3 linked regions of the Rhinolophus ferrumequinum genome follow. The main gene of each other region encodes a partner of the protein of the gene in region 3 in a complex. Links are inferred from orthologs where the notes say so. Each region holds a gene or a part of one and is shown on either strand. Other genes may lie near its edges.

Evidence for each region.
Region 1: TAF1C (region 3) and TAF1D share a complex: the UniProt entries of both Homo sapiens proteins name them as parts of the transcription factor SL1/TIF-IB complex. The link is inferred for Rhinolophus ferrumequinum from reciprocal best matches to the Homo sapiens genes TAF1C and TAF1D.
Region 2: TAF1C (region 3) and POLR1B share a complex: the UniProt entries of both Homo sapiens proteins name them as parts of the pol I pre-initiation complex. The link is inferred for Rhinolophus ferrumequinum from reciprocal best matches to the Homo sapiens genes TAF1C and POLR1B.

Annotation. Positions count from the first base shown.
Region 1 is NC_046294.1:64,901,699-64,909,704, forward strand, and holds the start of TAF1D (TATA box-binding protein-associated factor RNA polymerase I subunit D), read right to left. Parts: upstream 3,022-8,006; 5' UTR 2,817-3,021; intron 1,322-2,816; 5' UTR 1,258-1,321; coding exon 1,199-1,257; intron 462-1,198; coding exon 86-461; intron 1-85. UniProt on the Homo sapiens protein: Component of the transcription factor SL1/TIF-IB complex, which is involved in the assembly of the PIC (preinitiation complex) during RNA polymerase I-dependent transcription.
Region 2 is NW_022680356.1:219,655-227,559, forward strand, and holds the start of POLR1B (DNA-directed RNA polymerase I subunit RPA2), read right to left. Parts: upstream 3,022-7,905; 5' UTR 2,902-3,021; coding exon 2,725-2,901; intron 1,771-2,724; coding exon 1,603-1,770; intron 1,366-1,602; coding exon 1,219-1,365; intron 98-1,218; coding exon 1-97. UniProt on the Homo sapiens protein: Catalytic core component of RNA polymerase I (Pol I), a DNA-dependent RNA polymerase which synthesizes ribosomal RNA precursors using the four ribonucleoside triphosphates as substrates.
Region 3 is NC_046298.1:29,691,702-29,698,923, forward strand, and holds the start of TAF1C (TATA box-binding protein-associated factor RNA polymerase I subunit C), read right to left. Parts: upstream 3,105-7,222; 5' UTR 2,940-3,104; coding exon 2,818-2,939; intron 417-2,817; coding exon 278-416; intron 50-277; coding exon 1-49. UniProt on the Homo sapiens protein: Component of the transcription factor SL1/TIF-IB complex, which is involved in the assembly of the PIC (pre-initiation complex) during RNA polymerase I-dependent transcription.

The DNA of each region.
Region 1 (8,006 bases), on a different chromosome or scaffold from region 3:
TAAGTACATCAAAATCTAAGTGACCAACAAATCATTTCAAGCACTTTTGCTATGGTATATCCACATATATAAAATACTGACTCACCTCAAAGCTTAAAATTTTTCTCCAAGGTAGTGATTTTCTCCCATTCTCTGATTCTAAAAATGGGAACCCAGGTCCTTTAGCTTTAAATTGTTTATTTATTTGTGACCTTCTAGTGTTTTTCCTTCCTTCTGGTCTTCCCCTTGGTCTTCCCGTTGGCTTATATTTCCTCTTTTTATACTTCTTTTTTTTCAGTCTTTCAAAAATAGCTTTTAAAGTCAATGGTCTTGGTTCAAAAGATGAGTCACTAGATGAATCTCTTGCTTCAACACTTTCAGGTGAATGAACAAACTTTCTAATTGTGTTTCTTTGCCTCCGTTTAGGTGAGTGAGGAACACACTGAGTTTTAAATAAGCTGCTACCAGAGGAAGAGTTATCACTAGGGAAAAAAGGGGGAAACTTAATTGCATCCTCTTTATATAATAGAATGCTTATTACCAGTAAAGTACTTTTCTTTCACCAAAGCAGGAAAACATGCTCAAGATAATTTTTAAAGATGGGCTCAGTACTAGCCAAGCACTTAGTTCTGATCGCTCTACTTTAAAATAGCCCCAAAGGCCAAAGCACTCACCAAATAAACTTCCAAGAGAAATACAAGTTCTACTCAGGCAGTCTTGTTCAATGCTGGAGGCTCCTTTAAATAACTCAAGAGTTGCCTAGTAGGTATACTAGAAATACTGATTTGATTACCCATTGAAAACAACAGATGAAGTAAGGAGATACCGCCATCAAAGACATAAGCCAAGCATAATGTGCAATAAGTTGTGTTTTTATTTTCCGAAGTTGATTTTTAAGCAAGATTGCCCACTGATGTCCATTTTCTTGTTATAAAATTAGAGTTAGTCAGGAAGAGATAGATATTAAGTTGGCCCAGAGAATATACTGTTTTCCTGGGTTAAGAAAGTGTTCCACTGTTAACTACGTAAGTACATAAACTTGGAAGGTCTATGTAAACCAGGTTTTTCTTTTCATTCCTAATTCTTGAAAATTACCTTTACCACTCATTATCTACAACGATTGATGCCTTCCTGGTGATTCAAATACAGTAAATATTATCATCGAATCTAGTGTTTTCCAGTAAAAAACTGGTGGTTAACACAAAAAAAATGCACTTACCTTTGATTGTCAATTTCCATAGCTGAATCAGATGCTGTTACATAGTCAAGAGAATCCATTCTTGATATGTATCTTCTCCAAGTCAAAATTATATGTCACTTGTTCTTTGCTTTAACCAAATTTCTGACAATATAAAAAACAAATATGTAGTTTCCTTGAACAAATCAATGCCAGCACAAACAGCTAATATACCAAAATGCAAAATCTGATGTAGTTAGATTATGCCATTATATGTAAATCATGGCAAAAATCATTTACAGGCCTTCAATATTTTCATTTAGGAAGCAACCATTTCAGATCAAATTTTAAAATCTAGAAGTTTTATTCACAAGTTCTTTCATTTGTGTCTCCAAAGTTATCCAATGGAACAAGATTCTAGAAAAGTACTGTCATTCCCAAGAAAAATATCAAACATCTTCCTATAACAGTAAAAAATATAATTTCATCACTAGCCATATAGTAATGTGCAATTACGAGTATTAACATTCAATTAGTGGCCCAAAAGCCATTTTCCAAGAGCAGATAGGAACTCCTAGGAAAAACTTATAAAGCAAGAAGGCAAATCATGGCCTCAATATACCAGGAAATATAATCATCACAATTTACTATCTCAATCCAATACACCACACTAAACTCCCGGTCTGGAATTTTCATTTATGGCCTCTTTCCATTCATAATACGGCTTATCAAAATCAATGAAACCCTCTTTCCTGGCATATTATCTCTTTGCCATTATGGGTATTAATTTAAAAATTTTGAATTCTCAAACGTTTCAATGAAAGATTAAGACTACAATGGTGCCCTTTGTCTTCCTTTTAAAAAATCTCTTTGGAAGATTTTAGAGTAGTTTGGTACAAAATAATTTTTAAAAAACATAACATCTCAATACTGCATCTCCCTTATAGAAGATGCTATCATTCTGCCACTTTTGTATAGGTGGGAATGACAAAATTGAAAGGAATCTTAGGATAAAATAGCAAAATATTTCAAATATTGGAAATCAATAAAGTCACAAAGATCTTAGATTTGTAAAATATCCAGCAGATTCACGTGGTATCTTCATGGTATCATTGTAGTTTTTTAATGCAACTTCTAATTAAGTCACGAAATAAATGCACAAAAACGAATTCAACAAAATTTGGACCAAAGGCACTGGTGGTATTCTTGAGGTTAAAGTGGAGTTAACTCAAAAGCCACTTTTTCGGACCCTTGTTTAGAAAGCATTCCTACTTAAGCGTCGCTTCCTATTCTAAGATTCTACGATGAGAGGCCACGTGGCCAGACAATGCACTTTACCAGCGCTAACTATACCTTTCAACCACTTACCATGTGTGACCTTGGGGCGAGTGTTTCCAGGAAGGACCTAACCTCATGCATGGAAAATGGCGTAATTGTTACTTCACACTAATTAACTCAGAAAACCTGTATTTGTCGATAATACTTTATAATACAACCCAGACACAATGGATCACGCCCAAAACAACCGCGAGCCCTCCACCCTCAAGGCCTGACTTCTACGGCTCGCTATTCCCTAAGCAACGTGGTGGACCCGGTAAAAGGTAGAAAAGCAACCCCTCCCTGCCCCACCAGCCCCGTGCGGCCATGTTCTCTTCCTTACCCATCCAGGTCGGCAGTCAGCTTGCACCAAAAAGGAGCGGCTCACTACGGAACTCCGCAGCCTACTCGCAGGCTGTAGCCCAGGCCTCGGGGGTCTGCACCCAGCAACCTTCCGGGCTCAGCACTCCAACGTGCCGACATCTACCCACCTCTCCAAGGACCGAAAGAAAAGGCTGAGGTAACTGCGCGACCCACTTAATAGTGGGGCCAAAATCTCGCGGTAACAATGTACTTCCGGAAAGAAAATGAGAGGCGGGAGACGCCATTTTGATCTCCGCGAAAAGAGGAGCGATTAAAAGTGGGCGGAGCTTTAGGGAACTCAGAGGAGGCGGAGTTGAAAGAGACAGGATTCTGGTGCAGGTTTCCCTAACCCAGTAGGTAAGTAGAACAGCCAAGAACATTTCAGCAAATGACAAAAAGAAATTGTAGGATCAAATGAACGGAATGGATGCAACCTGAGAGGAAACAGCCACTCAACATGATTTGTTTCCGGTGGTCTCGCCTTTGCTTAGCTGTGGTCCAGGGTGTGTGGGGGTGTGGGGATGAGTGGGGTGTCTGTGTGCGGTGCCGAGTGTGTTTTGTCATATTATGGATAGTTTTGTCTTCAAAAAAAAATGTTCTCTGTTACATTGTGAAAGGATCATGCCTTGACCATTATTCAAAATACGTAACCTTTGTACTAGAAGCCAGTGTTACTCTGTAGCACACCCAGTTCCTCTCTGCACCTTTGGACTTGTTAGCTCCCTCTTTCACTTCAAACTGAGGGGTCAGCTTCTCAGGAGTTGATTAACGTATCACAAGAGAAAACAACTTTTTTTTCTGTTTTTTCCCCTTAGTTCCCTAAACGGTTACTGAGTGTTAAAACAGTTTAAACTAGCTAAATTTTGGTGGGGTTTCTTTCCCAAAATAGTTACAAAAAGGAACTAGCTGGTTTGATTTGTCCACTTTCATACCTCTTTTATCATATGATAAACCAGTAAAGCTGTCTAGTGTTAGTTTATAGTTACTGTCATCTCAGGATTGGACAGACGTGGAAGGTAATCTGGTCTCTTCACTCAGTTTTCCTCCAAATATTGAACAATTCCAGGCGTAAAGTCTAATCCTTTAGGCATTTCCAGTCTATGAAAGGTAAGTATCACATATCTTACGGCCATATTCAGGAGCAGGCCTGGCCATGTAATCTGTGAGGCTCAGTACAAAATGAAAATGCAAGGTCCCTTGTTCAAAAATCAGGGGGAAAATGTTAGTTTATTATTGATAGCATTATTGTGATATTAATTATGCTATTATTAATTACTAGCATCAATTTGCTATTTAATTCACTCTAAAGAAAAATTTTAAATTATTAGCATGAATTTTACCATTCTTTATATTGTGCGCTGCCAGTTTTAAATACACATATAAGAACATTTAACTCGTATGGAGAATCACTGAAATTTCACAATTCATATTTCATAACTCATATAAACATCTACTGTTCTTACTAAAACGGTGGGGAATGCACAAAACTAACTCACCTGTATTTATTTTACTTTTTGATGTACACTCTATCGGTACTATGGAATCTGAGGACTTTTGTTGGGATGGTTTTTCCTGCAGGCAGCCCCCCTAAGAGCTCAATCCCCCTCCTCCTCCCATACCTTATCGGAGATGTCTCCCGCGGGGACAATAGTTAGAGGCCTCCCTGTCAAAACAAATGTTAAAGAAACACAGCTGCTAGGGACAGATCTCCCTGGCCCCCTGGCCAGATTTCCCCCCCAACCTGGAGGCCTAAACATATAAAACAAAGCGCCTGACCCCAGTTAGTGTTCAGTTCTTTGGGAACAATCCCACTGAGCCTGCTAGCGTAATAAAGCTGTGTTCTCCCTGATCTCTGCGAGCCGCTTGAGTCTCTCGGTCCTCGTCATTTCTTCCGCAACACTTTGAGTCTTCCTAAACCCCCATGTATCATGAGTCCACCAGAATTCTATGCTTACCCAGCTTCACAAATGCTTTATGTGAATGGGGGTAATTTGGAATGATGGTGGGCGTGCACATCGTGCCTCTCTCCTCTCATCCCAAGCATGCTCCTTTGTCCTATCAGTCTTAAACAAAAGTTCAAACATAACATTAAGAATTTCAAGATGGTGACAACAGAGCATTAAACCAAGTGCCATTCTGAGCATATTGCCTTGTGTAACTACCCTAGTTGCACACCCATGAAGCCAGCCCTGTCCCAGGGCCTTAAGTCTGGTACATTGTTAATGTTCAGTAAATAATTAGGCTGAACTGGTGTCCAGTTTGCTACACACTTGGAAGTGCTAGAAAAAGAAACAAGGCAAAATGGGATCACTTTTGCTAAGCACATTCACCAAACCAAAACCTAATAACTAGTCTAATTGCAATTTTAGCCTTTCCCAGGAGTGGAATTTTTAAGTAATCGGTATAGAATATCTTGATCAAAACTAGTGAGGTAAACTGCTTGATAAAACCCTTGGCATTCCCTTTACCCCAAAAGATGACCTGGCCTAAAAATAATCCTTTCTATTCTTTTGCTAGTATCTTGCCAGCCACACCCTTCTGCTTATAAAAACCTTCTATTTTTTACAACCCCTGGGAGCGCCCTTCTACTTGCTGGATGGGATGCTACCTGATCCATGAATCGCTTAATAAAGCTAATTAGATCCTCAAATTTACTCAGTTGAATTTTCTTCTTTAACAGAAGTCAGATAAGAGAAACACAGTTCTATCTTCAGGGATCACAGCCTAGGGGGAAGAAACAGAGCAACAGATGGTGACAGGTAACTCCTGTTACCCAACTTGTGGGTTGGGTTTTCAGTTCTCCCAGGATGGAAATCGTGCGAGAAACAATGAAATAACCAGTTGTCAGTAAAGGAGAAAAGAATTTTTATTAAAGGAGGATGGGATGGTTTGATGCATCAGGAGAGCTCACAACTAATGCTGGAGTGCCTCCTCATCTGGCTGAGTCCACCTTTTACACGTTTCTCAGTCCTTTGTTCTTGTTTGCTCGGGGAAAACTGCTGGCTTCCGCCTGCTGGTTCCTCATGACTTTTTTGCGCAGGCATAGTGGCCGTACATATTCTAACCTACTGCTTCATGCATAGCATGTTTAATTAGCATATGAAATCTCCCAGGGGTGTGTTTTGTACTATGCTAATAAGCTAAGGTCAAGAAAAGGACAGATTCTAGACTTAAAGTGCCTGCATCTATCTAAAGTGCCTGCATCTATCTAAGTCGGAACTTCCCGGGCCTGTCAATTTTCTTTGTGGTCTTCCAGCCCTCATAGCGGTTGTTTTTATTGATTAGTTAACCTTGGCTTCCTGCCCTTTGAGTACTCTCACAGATGATTTTCCAACATCTACCCCAACATTCTGAGTACTGTAAGATCACTCTATGCAAATTCTTCCTATTTGTTGAAATGTGTCATTCCTTCACCAGTTAACTCACATGATATAAAGTAATAAGTTCTGGCTTTACAGTGGGCTGGACTTAGTTTGAATTCTGTTTCTACCAGTTAATAGCTGAGTGATCTCTAGTCAATATAGTGTTTTTAACTGACTTTCTCTTTTATGAAATGAGGATAACATACATCGTTGTGAGAGGTTTTGAGAGAATGTAAAGTGCCTAACAGTGTGTCTAGTACATAATATGCAGTTAATAAACAGTTATCAGCTTGGTTGCCATAGTTTGTTTACCCCTTTTGGGCCTTGTTTCTGCAGCTCCACTTACCCAACTGCCTATTTCTATTCTTCCCTTCGCTAGACCTTACTTCTGGGCCACTGACTCCCAGCAATGGAATCTGAAGAATAAATATTGTGTGCCTCCCTGTGGCTCAAAGCTGTCCCCCTGTGGCCACTCTGACTTTGTATTACAACCTTTATAATTCCTTTCTCTCATCACTCCAACTCCAACCTCCTCTTCCCTCTCACACTATACACGCACTACCACACTGCCTTCCAGAATGTTGGCGGGGCTGAAGTTCTACATTTCTAAACCAATTATTCAGGTAGTAGCCTCCCAGGGTTGGACTTTGTTTCTATTTTGGTGGGTTTGGGGAAAACAAAAAGCAAAAAAACAACTGATCATCTTTTAAAGGGTGTAAAATCAGGTTTGAATTTAAACTTGAGTCTTTATTATTTCTACTATAAGTAGAAATATCTAGTGCTTTTATTATCCTCATTATAAATGTATTTATTCATTGAGCAGATTTTGACATGTTCTTAATTAGTACTTGCTGGTTTCTATAAAGAAAATGTGGTAAGATGTTAATACTTGGGAAATATTGTTGAAGAGTATACAGAATTATTTGTATGTAATTTTCTGTCCATCTGACATTATTTCAAAAGTTAAAATGGCTAATTCCTGAACAGTTATAGATTATTCAATTCAAAAATGTTTGAGAAAATTGAATTATGATTATATAGGACTTGGGGCCCATTATCAACTGTTTATATTTTATTTGAGACCAGTTTATGCCTATTAAGTAATTAAAGGATAATAAAAGTACTAAAGTAAATGTCAAGTCCTAAATGTATGCAATAGCATGTTTGTAGGGGATGTGTTTGGAATTATCATCAAAACTAAAAACCCAATTTCTAAGAAACTTGTGAATCTTTGGAAAAGTTAAAAAGAAATTTTTGAAAGAATTTTTCAGGGATGCTGAAGGTCACCTTTCAGTTACTAAGTAAGCATGGACCAGACTATTCAGATTAATGAGGTTTTCCATTAACAATTTTAATGAGAACTCCAACAGTGCTCTTAGAGATACTCTCCAGTTTTGCCTTTATACCCTATTGCAACTAGCCTCCAGTGGGATTTCTCACCCACCTTATTACTTTTGTTTGGGTTTATTTTTTTCTTTTGCCTTCATTTTATTTATCTCCCTCTGCTTGCACACCTCATCACCTGAACATTTGAGGTAAGATACTAATTTCTATGTATATATGCCTACTTACTGTAAAATACACTTAACCATATATTTTTAAAATATTATAATTGGTTATCAAAATAATTGAACATTAAAGCTGCTTACCAAGAAATGAAAGTAATTTGAATTTCAAAAGCTAATCTTTGTATAAGTTTCCATTTATCTTAGTAATTTAAATTTCTTTTGTAAAAGTGATAATCTAAGAAACTTAATTTTTAACCTAAATGTCAAATATGGAAAACACAAATGATCTATTGCAGAAGT
Region 2 (7,905 bases), on a different chromosome or scaffold from region 3:
TGGGTCTCACCGTAGCAATGGGGAAATTTCTCCGAGGCATGATCAACATTCTGACGACCTTTTCGATGCCATTGACTATAAAATAGCCTCCCATTTCCTGCCAAAGAGACGACTTATCATGTTAAACAAAGATATGTCACTAACTTAAATGGGACACCAACTAACTGCAAACATCAAAGTCACTCCCACAGATGCGGTGTAATGTGCTGAGAGGGGCATACAGGTGACAGAGCCATGGGTCCCTGGGAAACTGTCAGTGTGTGAACTAAATCTTCTCAAGCACACAAAAAAGGTGCAGGGGCCTGGGAGGAAAGTATGGAAGGAAATCAAAGTACTTTCTCTACCAGACAGTCCTGACTTAACTTGCCTTTCTGTCCCCTAAAATGACTTCAGTTTTCAAATGACATTAAAACAAATAAAAAACGGTAACCATTTCGTTTCCAGATGAGTATGGTCCCAAACAAGGTAAAAAACTGCTGACTGTATGAAAGCTCTGGAAACCAGAAATTCAGACTATAGGAAAACATTTTTAATCGCTCCAATCAATATCACATTTCTGTAATAAACAGCTCCTATACTGATTGCCTACCATGAAGCAGGCATGCCATGCTAGTACACTGTGTTGTCATAATATGTCATTCTCACAACAACGAGTGGGGTAGCTACTGTGCCCGTTTTCAGCAGAGGAAACAGGCTCAGGAGACTGAACTGTCCAAAGCCACACGACTGGTAAGTGGAGCAGCTGAGTGTCAAACCCAGATGTGACAGTACAGCCCTCTTCCCACTGATAACACAGCTCTCCATGAAGGCACTCTGCATGTCTTGGTTACTGCAAAGCCATCTCACACAGCTAAAAGAAATGCCAAAGGGAAGGCATCTCAAGCATTTAATATGCTCAAAGAATCTTACTGTTGGCGAAGCAGACATTTTAGACAATAGTTTTGTGGATTAAGATGGCTTAAAAAATAAGTATGTCTCCAAATGGGTACCATTCAGAAAACTGGGGAAACTATCAATTCTCCCCGTAATACCCTCTACTGCATAGCCACTTTTTCACACTGTCTCATTTGAGACTCATCATGAACCATACACAATATCAGACAAGACATTAATGCCCCATTTTGCCTTTGCAGAAATGAAGCAGAGAAAGAAAAACTGGGTCCACACTCAGACCCCCGCCATCGCCACCTGGCTGCCCAGTGCCCGGAATGCGCTCACCTCTGGTTCCTCATGGTGTTCAATGAGGGCTTTGGGCGGAAGGCCGTACAAATTGCACAGCTTGGACTTCACCATGATGGGAACATAGCCAAGAAACTGCTTGATGACTCCTCTTGAGACTCCATTCACTGCCCAGCTGATATCGGCCTAAATGAAAACAATGACTTGAGAAAAAAGAAAATATTGGGATCTGCAAGAACAAATGAGCATTTTAAAAGAGGGAGGAGACCACAGATTAAATGATTTTATGCTTTTAGACTTAAAAGCTGGGATTTCTTGGATGATGGTACCAAGAAAGCAGAATTCTGGTTACACTTTATTGGGCACCAGCCTTATTCTCAGACATGTACAGCATGCGAGTCACACACTGTCACTTGCACTCACTGTCAACTTTCCCCGGTAGGTACTCCTCCGGCCTCGGCATTCTGCTGGATAAACGTTGAGCTCTTTGCAGATGCTTCCCTTGGGGACTGTGGGAGGACTGATGACAGCATCCACGACAGTGAGAGACACACGCTCCTCTTTGAAAGCAAATTCAAATGGAGGTACAGCCTGAAATGCAATTCACGCTATTAACTGCTTGCATGGCCAAGGCCCTCTTTCACTAAGACCCTTCTAAATCCCATGCATTTTCTACAAAACTATAATGCTAATGTGACACATCTAGATGACAGTGAAAACTACTTCCAGTCTACTCACACCCTCACTACGTACCTAAAACTAGAAGGCATTAACTCCAATATTTGAGTGTCTGCCACGTGTCAGATTCCTAGAAGGTCCTAGGAACGTATGTACACAGAACAAAGCTGTTCTCTGACCAAAGAGCCTGCCTACTCTCTTCTTACTTTGCATCCTCTATAAGCACAGCAAGACTAATGGGACTGCTGCCAAGGATATGGAAGCACCTCCTGATCCAGGACCAGACACTAATGCGATTCTTTATGCTGATATTTGTACAGTTCATCCAACTGTGGCCTCATACTGAGGCCAGAGTCATACAAAGAGGACGGTGGTCACCATCGTGGTTCTTCCCCTTACCCAGCTGCTGCTTTTCTGTACCACTCCCTGGGGGAAGCTTTGCTGTTCCACTGAGGAAAGGGCACCACTGAGCTCTCTTAGCATGTTAACCATGGACAACCAACTGTGGTTGAGAAGCACAGCCCAGGCGGACCACCTCCCCACTCTCTCAGCACCCAGAAACTGCTCTGCAAAATGCTACGGTTCCCAATCCCATATAAATCCACGAATCACGAATGCATCTTCCCCTGGTCGACTGGAGCCCAAGCCCCGCGCTGAGCCTGGCATAATCACGGAGCACCACCATTTGGGATTATACTGTGACCTCTCAGCCAACTCTCTGGGCCCTGTAGCCCGCCTCCTGGGTCTCCCCTTCCCTTTCTCCTCCCACCACGTCCGCCTCCGGCCTCGCAGGGCCCCTTTGCTCCGCCTGCCCGAGCGGCGCCAGCGAGCGCGGAGCTGGGAGGGCTCCTGAGGCGCCGCACTCACCTGCACCGCGTGGCCGAGCCCCTCGCGCACCGCGTAGTTGAAGGACTCGACGTGCGCCTGCGTCAGTTCCTGCAGCGCCGGCTTCTGCTGCTCCGGCGGGACCCCGTAAGAGGGGTCCGTCAAGTGCTTGAGGCTGGGCTCGCGGGGCAGGCCCCGCCACCGGCTGCCAGGATCCATGCGGCACCTGCACGCCTGCCTCCAGCCACTCTCCGAAGCACCGGAAGGAAGCACGGTGCCCACGGCCTCCTGGGAAATGTAGCTCTTCTACTTCCGCCGGAAATCTGCCCGTCCTTTACATAGGGCCGACTTGGAAGCGAAACCGTGGTGTGAAGGGGCCGGTGTACAACTGTACCGAGACGGTACGCTCCCGCCCCACTCAGCGTTGCCCTCTGGCTCTCGTTCCTTCCACCAGTAGAGGCTGGTGGAGAGCAGTCTTCAATGCGCCGCTATTTTCCCCGCGACCACTTCCCGATCATTGCTGATGCCCACCCTGGGCAGACCCCAGCCGCGTCTCGGCTTCTAGAAACAAGCTGGCTGACTGCCCTCTACCCCACTGGAATCGTGAGGGCACCTCGCGGAACGGTCAGGTGGTCTGCGCTCGCTGACGGCTTCCTTTGTCCTGGGGTCCGGCAGCCGCCACGGGGCCTCCCAGCCCTGTAGCCTCTCTGAGTCCTAGGAGCCACCATCTTTCCAGTGGGGATTTACCAAGGAGTGCCTCAACTCGTCTTCGTGTGTGTGTCTTTAACAGCCGCGTTCGCTATGGCGGGATGATCGACAGTAAACACACACACTTAAAATGGAACCCTTGGTAAGTTTACCTGTATGTCACCTGTGACGCCATCGCCACGATTCGGATAGAGTCAGTCCACCACTCCCAAGTAGCCTCCTGACCCTTGGGAATCCCTCCCTCGCGGCGATTTCATCTATATTCCTGATTGGTGGGCTTGCTTTTCCTGTAATGTCTTTGTCTGGTTTCCCTATCAGAGTTAACAGTGGCCTCACAGAACCACTTGGGACGTGTTCCCTCCTCTTCCATTTTTTGGATTGGTGTTAATTACTCTTCAAACACTTCGTAGAGTTCATCACTCAAGCTATCTGGTGCTGGGCTTTTCCATTTGGGAAGATATTTTGATCATTAATTCAGTCTCTTGTCAGGTCTATTCAGATTTTCTGTATCTTCTTTATAGTCACTTTCGTCAGTTTTGTATCTTTCTAGGAATGTGCCCGTAAATATCGATTATCTAATTTGTTGGCATACAACTGTTCATAGGATTCCCCTGTAATCCTACTTGTGTTGTAGTAATATACCCTCTCTCATTCCTCATTTTAGTAATTTAAGTTCTCTTTTTTTTCCTCCTTGCTCAGTCTAGCTAAAGTTTTGTCTATTTGATTGATCTTTTCAAAGCACTAACTTTTGGTCTTGTTGATTTCTTCTTTTTTTCTATTCTCTGTTTCATTTATTTCCATTCTAATCTTTATTATTTCTTTCTACTTTTTTGGGTTTCGTTTACTCTTTTTCTAGTTTCTGAAGGGGGAAGAAACCTAAAGGGTGTTGATTTGAGATTTCTTAAAGTTTATGGTGGTGACAATAGTTAGTAAAGTTACATAGATTTCAGCTGGAGATCTTTTTTTAATGTAGACATTTTAACATAAATTTCCCTTTAGGAACAGCTTTAGCTGCATTGCATAAGTTTTGGTATGTTCTCATTTTCATCTATCTCAAAGTATTCTAATTTCCCTTGTGATTTCTTTCTTTGATCCCATTATTTAGGGATCTCATTATTTAGGGATAATGAGATCCCTTTGATCTCATTATTTAGGACTGTGGTTTCAATTTCCACATATTTGTGATTTTCCCAAATCTATTTGTTAATGATTTCTCATTTATTTGATGTGGTCAGAGGACAGATGTAGCATAAGTTCAATCATTTTTAATTCACTGAGACTTGTAGTATGGTCTGGCATATGGTTTATCTCACAGAATATTCCACGTGTACTTGAGAAGAATGTGTATTTTGCTACTGTTGGATGGCAAGCTCTATAGATATTTGTTAGATTTAGTTGGTTTATAGTGTTTTCTACTTCCCGTTGATCTTCTATTTGTTCTATCCATTATTAAAAGTGGAGGATTGAAGGCTCCAACTAATATTATTGAACTTTCTCTTCAAATCTTCTATTTTTCCTTCATGTATCTGGGGGCTTTGTTGCTAGGTTCATATGTTTAGAATTAATTTGATGGATTGATCCTTTTATCATTAAAAAATGTCCTTTGCCTGTAGTCACAATTTTGTTTCTCAAAGCTTATTTTGTCAGGGGGAGGAGGATGGCAGATGAGGGTAATGGGGATCCCATGTATGGTGATGGAAAGAGAACTGACTCTGAGTGGTGAACACACAATGTGATATATAGATGATGTAATACAGAATGGTACACCTGAAATTTGTGCAACTTTACTAACAATTGTCACCCCAATAAGCTTCAATTAAAAAAAAAATTATTTTGTCTAATATTATTTGTCTACTATTAGTATGGCCGCTCAAGCTCTCCCTGAGTTACTGTTTGCATGGTATATCTTTTTCCATCCTTTTACTTTCACCTGCTTGTTGTTTCTTAGTCTAAAGTGCGTCTTCAGCAGATAGCACTTCAGAGTTGGATCATGGTTGTTTTGGCTTTTTAAAATCCATTTTGCCAATCTGTCTTTTGATTGGAGTGTTTAATCCATTTACATTTAATGAAACTACTGATAAGGTAGGGTTTATGTATGCCATTTTTGCTATTTGTTTTCTATTTGCCTTATATGCTCCCCGTTCCTTCATTACTGCCTTCTCTTTTGTTAAATAGGTATTTTCTAGTGTAACACTTTAGTTTCCTTGTCTTTTTTTTACTATATATTTAAAGTTATTTTCTTAGTGGTTGGTGTGTCTTGTTGTGGATCTCTTTGAGTCTATCCTACCTAGTTTGAATTTCTTGCATGCATTTTAATGTTTCTCGTCAAAGTGGGAAAGTTTTCTTCCAATGTTTCTTCCCCTCCCCTCTCTTCTAGGGCTCCTGTATGTATATATGCTGGTATACATCCACGCCTCTAGGTAGATCTCTGGAGCACTGTTTATTTTTCCTCATTCTTTTTTCTTTCTGTTCCTAAAACTGGATAATCTCAGTTGGCTTCAGATTTACCGATGGCTTCTTTTGCCAGCTCTAACTTGCTTTTGAACACCTCTACTGAATTTTTCATCGGCATCATTGTACTTGGTTCTATTTAAAATACAATTTCTATCTCTTTAATGATGATATGCCCTCTGATGACACATCGTTCTCAGTCTCATTTAGTTCTTCAAACACATTTTAAATAATTAAAGTCTGTGTAATGAGTCCAATGCCTGGGTTTCCTTAGGCACCGTGTCTATTGACTGCCTCTTTCCTCTGTGAGGCTTACTTTCTTTTTTCTTTGCATGTCCCATGATTTGTGTTGAAAATTGGAAAATTTTAATAATATAATCAGGCAACTTTGGAAACCAGATGTTCTCCCCTCTCCAGGATTAATTGTTGTAGCTCTTTGTGTTTTTAGTGACTTTGCTAAACTAAAGCTTGTATTCTTTCTTGGGTGTGGCCACTGAAGTCTCTGCTAAGTTAGCTTAGTGATTAACTAATGATTGAACAGATTTCCTTAAAAGCCTGGAGCCAGTAATTCTCCCAGTATTTGCCAAGGGGCCATGTGTGTGCGCGCACGCGCGTTTGGCATGCCCTCATGCTCAGGAAGGTGTTTTACAGCTCTGTCTTAGTCTTCACTTCCTGCTTGTGCAGATCCACCTGGTTAGAGATGAAAGCTAAGGGCACACACACAGCCCTACACATGTGTGTGGCCTTCCATATTCTTAGGAATGTTGAAGCTTTTCAAAACCTCCTATGGAAGTCTCAGTTAGGAGGGACAATCTGTTGACTTATGTATTGAATGACATGCTGGGTTCAGCCAGTGACGGCCACTTCTGGCCTGTTTTTGTATGGCCTATGTGCTAAGGATGTTTTGTATATTTTCTAAGAGTTGGGGAAGAGACAAAGAAGAAACTGCAACAGAGACCCCACATGGCTTACAAAGTCTAGAATATTTACTGTCTGGCCCTTTACAGAAAGTCTGCCTGTGGCTGGGTAACAGAATCATGGATTCAACCCACCAGTGAGTCCTAGGACAATCAACACCCACAATAAGACTATGAGACCTTAGGGGACAAAAACATTTGAAATATTATTACTTTAATGCCCCAGGCATTTTAAACATTCATAAGATCGCCGTTTTTCAGAAGTCATGTCTTCCTAGGTACAGAGCTTGTGTCCAGGATCAGAGCCAAGGGCACCACTGATTCCTTTAAAGCAGAACATGCTGTGGGGGCCACCCTGGTGCCTGACTTCTCTAGTGGAGTCCCCACCACACCCACAAGAGGGCTGGGTCCACTCTGCTTGACACAACCACAACTGCTCATGAAATACACTCTGTAGCTTCACTGTGCTGTGGTTCTGTGCATCCCGGACCGTCCCAGCACAACCACGTCTCCCACGTCTGTGACAGCTGTCCAGGGCGCAAGGGGGATAGCGTGTCGGCTGGTAAGTATGCCAGCACCTGCTCCACCGCATCAGGCACTGAGGCACTTGAATGTTCTGGGCAGAGTGGAGTTCGTAATCCCCTAGGAGTTAGTGTGAGGACAGGGGCTTTTCTCTCAGGAAGTAGTAACCTTAACATGTAGTTAGCAGATTGATAAGCCCCCGTCTGTTTACACTTGTTGCCAAGGCTTCCCAGACTGTAAATAGACAAAGGCTGTTTGACATGAAGCAAAGAGAGAAGCTGCTTAGACGGCACTTTCTAGTCGCATAAGTACCTGTGTCAACATCTGGTCATTCTTAAAGAGAAGCCTGTCCTTCCAAAAGCCCTAGGCCTTATTTGATTCTCCCAAGGTAATAGTAATGTGTTTGTTCTCCCTTCTATTCTATTCTACGGTTCAAGGCACCTCTATGCACACTGATGCCTGAGGTTCCAGTTAATTGTCAAGGTGGGGGAGGGGGACAATGTGGACACCAGCACTGCGAGACGCGTCCCAAGTGATCCCAGCACACAGCACTGGGCACCTTGGTACTGACGGTCCTTGAGTCTTCCTAACCTCCCCTGTGCTCGCTAAAGCCTGTGAGGTAGTC
Region 3 (7,222 bases):
GGGTGTCTGGCTCCCAGAACAGGCCCTTGGCCAAGGGCAGCACCCTATTCTGTGGAAAACACAACCATGACAACAATGCTTCTGGGACAGGTGTCGTCGCCAGCACTTGTCTTTTATTAACTCATTCAACCCTCACAAGGAGCCTGCCGAGTTGATACAACAGTCATCGTCACTTTACTGATGAAGAAATGCAGACACAGGGAAGCTGTCACTTGCCCGAGGTGACACCCAGTAAAGAGAAGGCCAAGTGAAGGCTCTCTCTCCCTGCCATCCTTACCTCGGAGTTCTGGGGCAGGGACTCTGGCAAGGTCAGTGCATCTCTCCAGCTGCACATGAAGGACGTGTCAGGGACATCGCTCAGACCAAGTGGGCCGGTCATAAACAACGTGGGGCGGAGGGAGCTGGGGAAATCCATCCTAGAAAATAAGAACCACACGTCACACTGGCATTCTCAAAGGCCTGAATCTGACCAATAGCCTCCAGAGTGAAAAGTGCCCTCAGAGGAGTATACTTCTTTGAAGGAGCAGATAATGAAGAACAAATGAGTATGTAGCCAACTGCCAGAGACTAGGAAGTACTGTATTAAAACCAACCAACCAACCATGAGGGAGGGGATGGCGATAGGCCAAGGGTGTGCTTTTAGCCATGGAAGCCAGGGAAAGACTTGTTGAGAAGGTGGCTTTTGGCATGGCCTGAACCTACCGAGGAAGAGAACCACAGACAACAGGGAAGAGGGTTTCTGGCAGAATGAACAGCAAGTACAAGAGTCCTAGGGCAGGAAGTGTTTGGGAAACAAGTAGGAGGCCATCCAATGAACAAGAAGAGTGGCCAGTGGCAAAGGATGAAGACAGGTGGCAAGGGGTCAGCTTCCATCATAGCTCTTAGGTATTATAATCACGTATTTGTAAGCTACGCGCCCTACACTCCAGGCTACACTCCCAGGAGTAACTCAAGTTCCCCCAAGCCAGGCACTGAGTCTTATTTGTCTGTCTTAACCACTGTCAAGTATAGTATCTTCCAGAAAACACATTATGTGTTGAATAAAAATAAGTTCAGTGAAAGGGCTTTGCTACATACAAAGTGCTCTAGAAGTACAAGTAGCCACATCATCCCTCTTTTTCTTTTTTACTAACAGCACAAATCACAGCAGCGCTCACTCACTGAGTGTAAACATCTGCCAAACACAGGACGACATGTGTTAGCCTTCTAGTCTCCCTATTTTGGAGTTTAGGAAATTGTGGCTCAGGAAGGAGCCACTTGCCCAAGGCCAGCAGCTTCCCCCATCCAATTCACAGTCCAACTTCTGCACCGCCACTGTCCTGTGCATCCCAAAGCAAACACGAGCATTCGGGTCTTCGTATGCACAAATCTTTTCCCGTGGAACCGCTGCTGCATTTTATCAGCTGATTCTGTAAGCTCCGTACATCCACGTATCCTCAGGACCACGCCAAGTGTCCATCACACAGTAACTACTTGTCAAACTTGTCCAGCAAGTCAGCCTCATCCCAGCGGTATAGTCTTATCTCTTCCGCTAGACTGCAAGCCCTCTGAGGGCAGGGTCTGTATCTCATGCATTCCTGGGTTATTGGTGCCTGGCTGCTGCTGTCATTCCCTTTAACGTGACCAGAGAGAACAGTGGAAGGAATCAAGAAGATGCTCAGTGAGTCCTTGTGAAAAACACTGGCTGCCATAGGAGGGACTGTACCGACGGCAGTGAAAAAGCTCCCTCTCAGAGGCGGCTGCGTCCCTGATACATCAGTGTGAGCATGTCTCTGGGTTGTCTCTGGTTCCTGGGCTCCAATCACACTGACCTCCTCTAGGTTCTTCCTCACCAGGCTTTTCACCACAGGGTCTCTGCACACTGTCGCTCTGCTTGAAGCGATTGCCAGGGTCCTTCCGGTCTACCGACAAAATCCTACTCAACATCCTACTTGACAAAATCATCCTTCAGATTTCCAGTCAGGAAGTTCTCCCAGTTCCCTCAACGCCATCCTCCCACGATACTCTGCATGCTTTCTCCAGAGCACGCACTGCAACGTGTAATTACATAATTAAAGATGTCACTGTTTGATTAAAAAGCGGGAGAGGGATTTTATCCCCAGGGCCTTGGTGTTTGCTACACGGTAACAATCAGCACCAGTAAGCTGAAAGAACAAATCCAGGGATGAATGAACAACAGGGTAGTCAGGGGTTCACATAGCCGGAGCCTGTACCTGGGGAGAACAACCTTGAGCCCCATCCCCTGGCCAATAAGCAACAATGAGCAAACAGAGCCATAATCACAGGAGAGATAAGCAGGCTCAGGAAAAGCGTCTAAAGTTGTACATGCACATTAGTGAAAAGAGCTGTCCTATAGTTAACTTTTCTTCATTCGAATACGAAAAAGCACTCTGCTAGGCAGAGTCTTAAGATGCTAGCATGAAGTAGCACGTAGGTACACTGCACAGGTGCATGTAGGACCCACTTCAACATACTTTGGGGAGGGAGACGAGAAAGAGGAAGCAGTGGCCTCCAGCCCCAAGAGTCTATGAAAACCGCTGTGACTGTAAACTCCGTGAGCTCTATGCTCTTCTCTATTGGAGTGTGCTCCCGTGGTGCATCAAACTCTCGCTTTAATAAACCTTTCTCTCTGCAAAATTTTCGCCCACTGTCTTGATTTCTATTCCGAGAAGGGCAAGGACCCGTTACAAGTTACCGGGCGCCGGTAACCTGAGAATCCAACAGCCTCAAACAAACCCAGGCAGCCCGAGGGTGTTGGTGGAGCCCGCGACCTCAGGAAAGCCTCTAGAAAAGGCAACCTCAACTTCCCAGCCTCACCTGAGGCTCTCCAGGCCTCCTCGGACCTCCAAGGCCGCGTTACTGCCACGCGGGACTCGCAGGAAGTGGGCCTGTAGCAGGAGATGGGTGAAGGGATCCGGACGGTCCCTCCCCTCATGCATCTACTTGGCCACGTCCTCCCTACTCATCTCTTCCAACTCCCACCTCCAGGCCCTAGAATTTCAACAGCAAAGGACTCTCATCAAACGCTGTACACCAGACAGCTTGGGGAGCGTGGACTCGCGCGGAGAGCAGACCCGAGCTTTCTTCTCGGCCCCGGCACCCCTCTTCCTGCCGTCCAGCAGGGCGCGCGCACTTACGTGGCCCGGGCCTCGCGGAGCTCGTCTGAGACATGGACCTCCACGTGACGCTCGCCTGACCCTCGTGACACGAGGGAGCCCAAAGCAACACCCTAGCTCCAGCAAACACCGATGAATCAACCTCACAACGGTAATTAACGGTCTTCCGGACCTAGCCGGAAGTGCTCCCTCGAAGCAGGAAGTCCCGCCTCCCAGCCTGGCCTTACGGGCGCCCCAGAGCGCCACCTTCCGGGAGGAGGGGGAATGGGAGTGGAAGTGGTGCTGTGGGCAGTAGAAATAAAACCTCAAGTCCCGATAGTGAAGGCCACGTTGAGGAGAGTTCGAATTCCACCTCTGTTTAATTAACGTCCTATTTTGCAGGATTGTTTTAAGTATTAAATGTATTCCCTCAGCAAACACTTTCTGGGCACCCACGATGAGGCACTGTATTAGTCAGTAGGAATCCTAATGATTCCTTATATCCTATGTCCTTATATCCTATGAAGTAGGCTTTACATATAGGTGTACAGATAACTCTGGGGATGCATGAGTTTTCCCCAATGGTCAGGCAAGTATAGCTTTAGGCATTGATTCTCAAATTATGGCGTGCATCAACATCACCTGGAGGACATGTTAGAACATAGTTCCTGATTCAGGGAGGCTGGGGTAGGACCTCATAATTTGAGTTCCTAAGTTCCCAGATGATGATTCTGCTTGCTTAGGGGCCAAGTTTAATATAAGACCCAGTATTATATTGTATTATATTATACCCAGTATTATATTATAATTATACCTGGCCTTATATTATATAAGACCCGGTCTTATTTTACTATAAATAAGTATTTATTTTACTATAAATTTTACTTATTTTACTATATTTTACTTATTTTACTATAATTTTTGCTCCAAAAGACGCATTAGAGCTGATTGTCCAGCTAGGTCTTATTTTCGGGGAAGCACGGTAGTAGCTCTCAAACTTGATCATGTATCAGAATCTCCTGGAGGTCTTGTTAAAACAGCTTGTTGGGCCCCACCCCAGAGTTTCCAGTTTTGTAGATCTGGGATGGATCCAAGAATTTGCATTTTTAATGAGTTCCCAGGTGATGCTCACGCTTCTGGTCCAGGCACCACACTTTGAGAACCATTTAAAGAATCAATTTCCAGAATCTTGGCTTACATCTATAGTATATTAATAGTTTTTATCTGGGAGATGTTTGGAATCAGATGATTCCCTTTTTGCATCTCCCCTTTCACGATTACTTTTTTCCCCACTTTGTAGTACTGCCCAAGATGGGCACTGAACAAGGAGGGCGATTCCAAAAAGTTGCTTTCCTGCAAGAGAGTCCCTGTGAGACTAAGAAAAGCAGGTTCAGTAAGAAGTAATGATGGACGGGTGCAGGAAGGAGAATTTTGGGGGCTGACAATATTTTGTTTGTTCATCTGAATACTGGTTACATGGATATGTTCAGTGTGTGAAAATTCATCAAAAGATTTATGCACTTTTCTGTACATACTATGTTATACTTCACTAAAGAGTCTTTTAAAAACAGAAGAAAAGAAGAAAATATTGCTGGCCGTGATGCTATCTCATTGAGATGTTAACTTCTTGGTTAGGCTAAGGGCTTTCCCAGCTACCTATCTCAGAAATAGAATTTAGAAGTCACTCTAGGAGGGTGGGAATTCTTCTGTCTGTGCTGGTCACCAGTGTATCCCAAACAACTAGAAGAGTAGATGCTTGATAAATATTTGAATCAATGAAATGAGATGGTTCTTCTGAGAAAATATCAACACATTTATTTAAGTTGAATAAACAAAGTCAGACTGTTTCTAACAAAGAGTAAGTCTGATTTAGGTGAGTGGTTTGACTATGAGAGTAGGCTTTGCCAGTTAGATCATTTGGAGAGCGTTTTTCATAAATGAAATAGGCTCAGTCTGCATCTCTATGGTTTTGATAAAATATACTGGAAGGATTATTATAATAAATAATAAGTTAAAAATTGCTCCTTTTGTAATTATTTAAACTTGTGACTAAAATATTTGGGATAGTTTTTAAAAACTATTTTATGGGTATGCATGCAAAAAAATTGAAGACTATATTAGTTTCCTTTTGCTGCTGTAACTAATTACCACAAATTGAGTGGCTTAAAACAACCCAATATCATACAGTTCTGGAGGTCAGAAGCCTGAAATGGGTCTCACTAGGCTAAAATCAAGGTGTTAGCAGGGCTGTGTTCCTTTCTGAAGGCTCTAAGGGAGAACCAGGTTTTTTTGTTTGTTTGTTTGTTTGTCTGTTTGCCTTTTCCAGCTTCTGATAGTTGCCTGAATTCCTTGGTTCATGGCCCCCTTCCGTCTATAAAGCCAGCAATGGCCAGTTGAGGCTTTCTGGTGATGCCATTTCTGATTTTGACTCTCTGTCTCCGTCTTCCCTATTAAACGATGCTTGTGATTACACGGACCTACCCAGATAATCCAGGATAATTGCCCTATCTTAAATTCAGCTGATTAGAAACCTTAATTCCATCTGCAACCTTAATTCCCCTTTGCCATATGACGCAACATATTAATAGACCGTGGGGATCAGGACCTGGACATCTTTGAGAAACTATTCTTTCACTTTCCACTCTTACGAGCCACCCATCCAGCTTCTGCACTGGGAGGTCAATTCCATTTCTTCCTTCTTTCCTTTCTCTAAACAAGCTGTTATGTTTCCTTTTGTTACTGCGTATTACTTAACATGCAGTAAAGTGCACAAGTCTTAAGTATACAACTCATTGAGTTTTTACATACATGTAAACTTAAGACAACCACTACCTAGCTTAAGACAGAGAATATTTCCATCTCTCCAGAAAATTCCTTGGTGCCACTTTCCAGTCAATATCCCCTTCAAGAAGTAACCACGATTCTGACTCTTACCACCATAAATTAATTTTGCCGGTTCAAGAACTTTACATAAATAAGATCATGCAGAAGGTACTCCTTTGAGTCTGGCTTCTTTCATTTGTCAACTGAAAAATAATATGACTAGGTGTCTCATCACCAAAAAAAGATTTGGGAAAAAGAAGGGTTGTAACCCAGGGCATGTGAGTATGGCAAGCCATGTGCACACTCTGGCCTGCATGCCAAGATGGAGGAGTATTTAGAGACGGGAAAAGGAAGTTAATGGAAGGGGAAGTTAGAACTATGGAGCTTTACCATAAACATAGACTTCTTCCTGTAGGGTTCTGATGTGTGGGATTCTTGCAATTACATAGAGTGCAAGAACTTCCAGAAGCCCTAGCTCCTCCCATAGCTCCTCTTCACTGATTATGTTGGCTTAAAGTTCCACTTCGTCTTTTATCACATTTAACATGCCCATGAGATTTACCCATGTTGTGCAGTAGTTTCTTTTTTTTATTTTTTTTCATTACTGAGTAATAGTCCATTGTATGACTATATCACCATGTGTTCATGCAATTTCCTGTTGGTGACCTTTCTGGGTTTCGCAACTCTGTTCAAGTCTCTTTGTGGATATGGGTCGCCATCATTCCCTTTCTGAACACTGCTGTGCTGGGCCTAATTCTGCTCTTTGAACTATACCCCAAAACCAGAATGGTTCTTCCTGCTGCCAATCCTTGAAATGTTTGGGAGGTTGAATCTACTCTTCCTCCCACATCTACTCTTTCCAAGTTAAACAGTCCTGGTTCCACCACCTGCTCCGTATATGCCCCAGATCACACACAGCAGCAATCCTGGTCAGCGTTGTCAGACCCAAAGGTAGCATCTCCAGCAACACTGGGACACGTCTTAGAGACTGTGAACTGAGTAACTGGTCGGGTTTTCCCCAGCACCGGCTCCTATAAGACTCGGTTAAATTTGTGGCCCCCTTCATGCTATTGTGTTCTGCATCATAGCAGGCCATATGAAAATTGCCTTTATCCCTAATTTCATCTTAATTTTGTTATTTCTCCTTCATTCCTACTCCCTCATCTTAAAGAATGGCTGTCTTGTGGTATTTTTATGACCAACTCAAAATCCCTTCTGAAGAACAAAAGGACAGGGTGCCAAATATTTAATTTTGGCTAAGGAACACTTCCAGTTGGCTTCAGGAAGGCGTACAGTTTACAGTT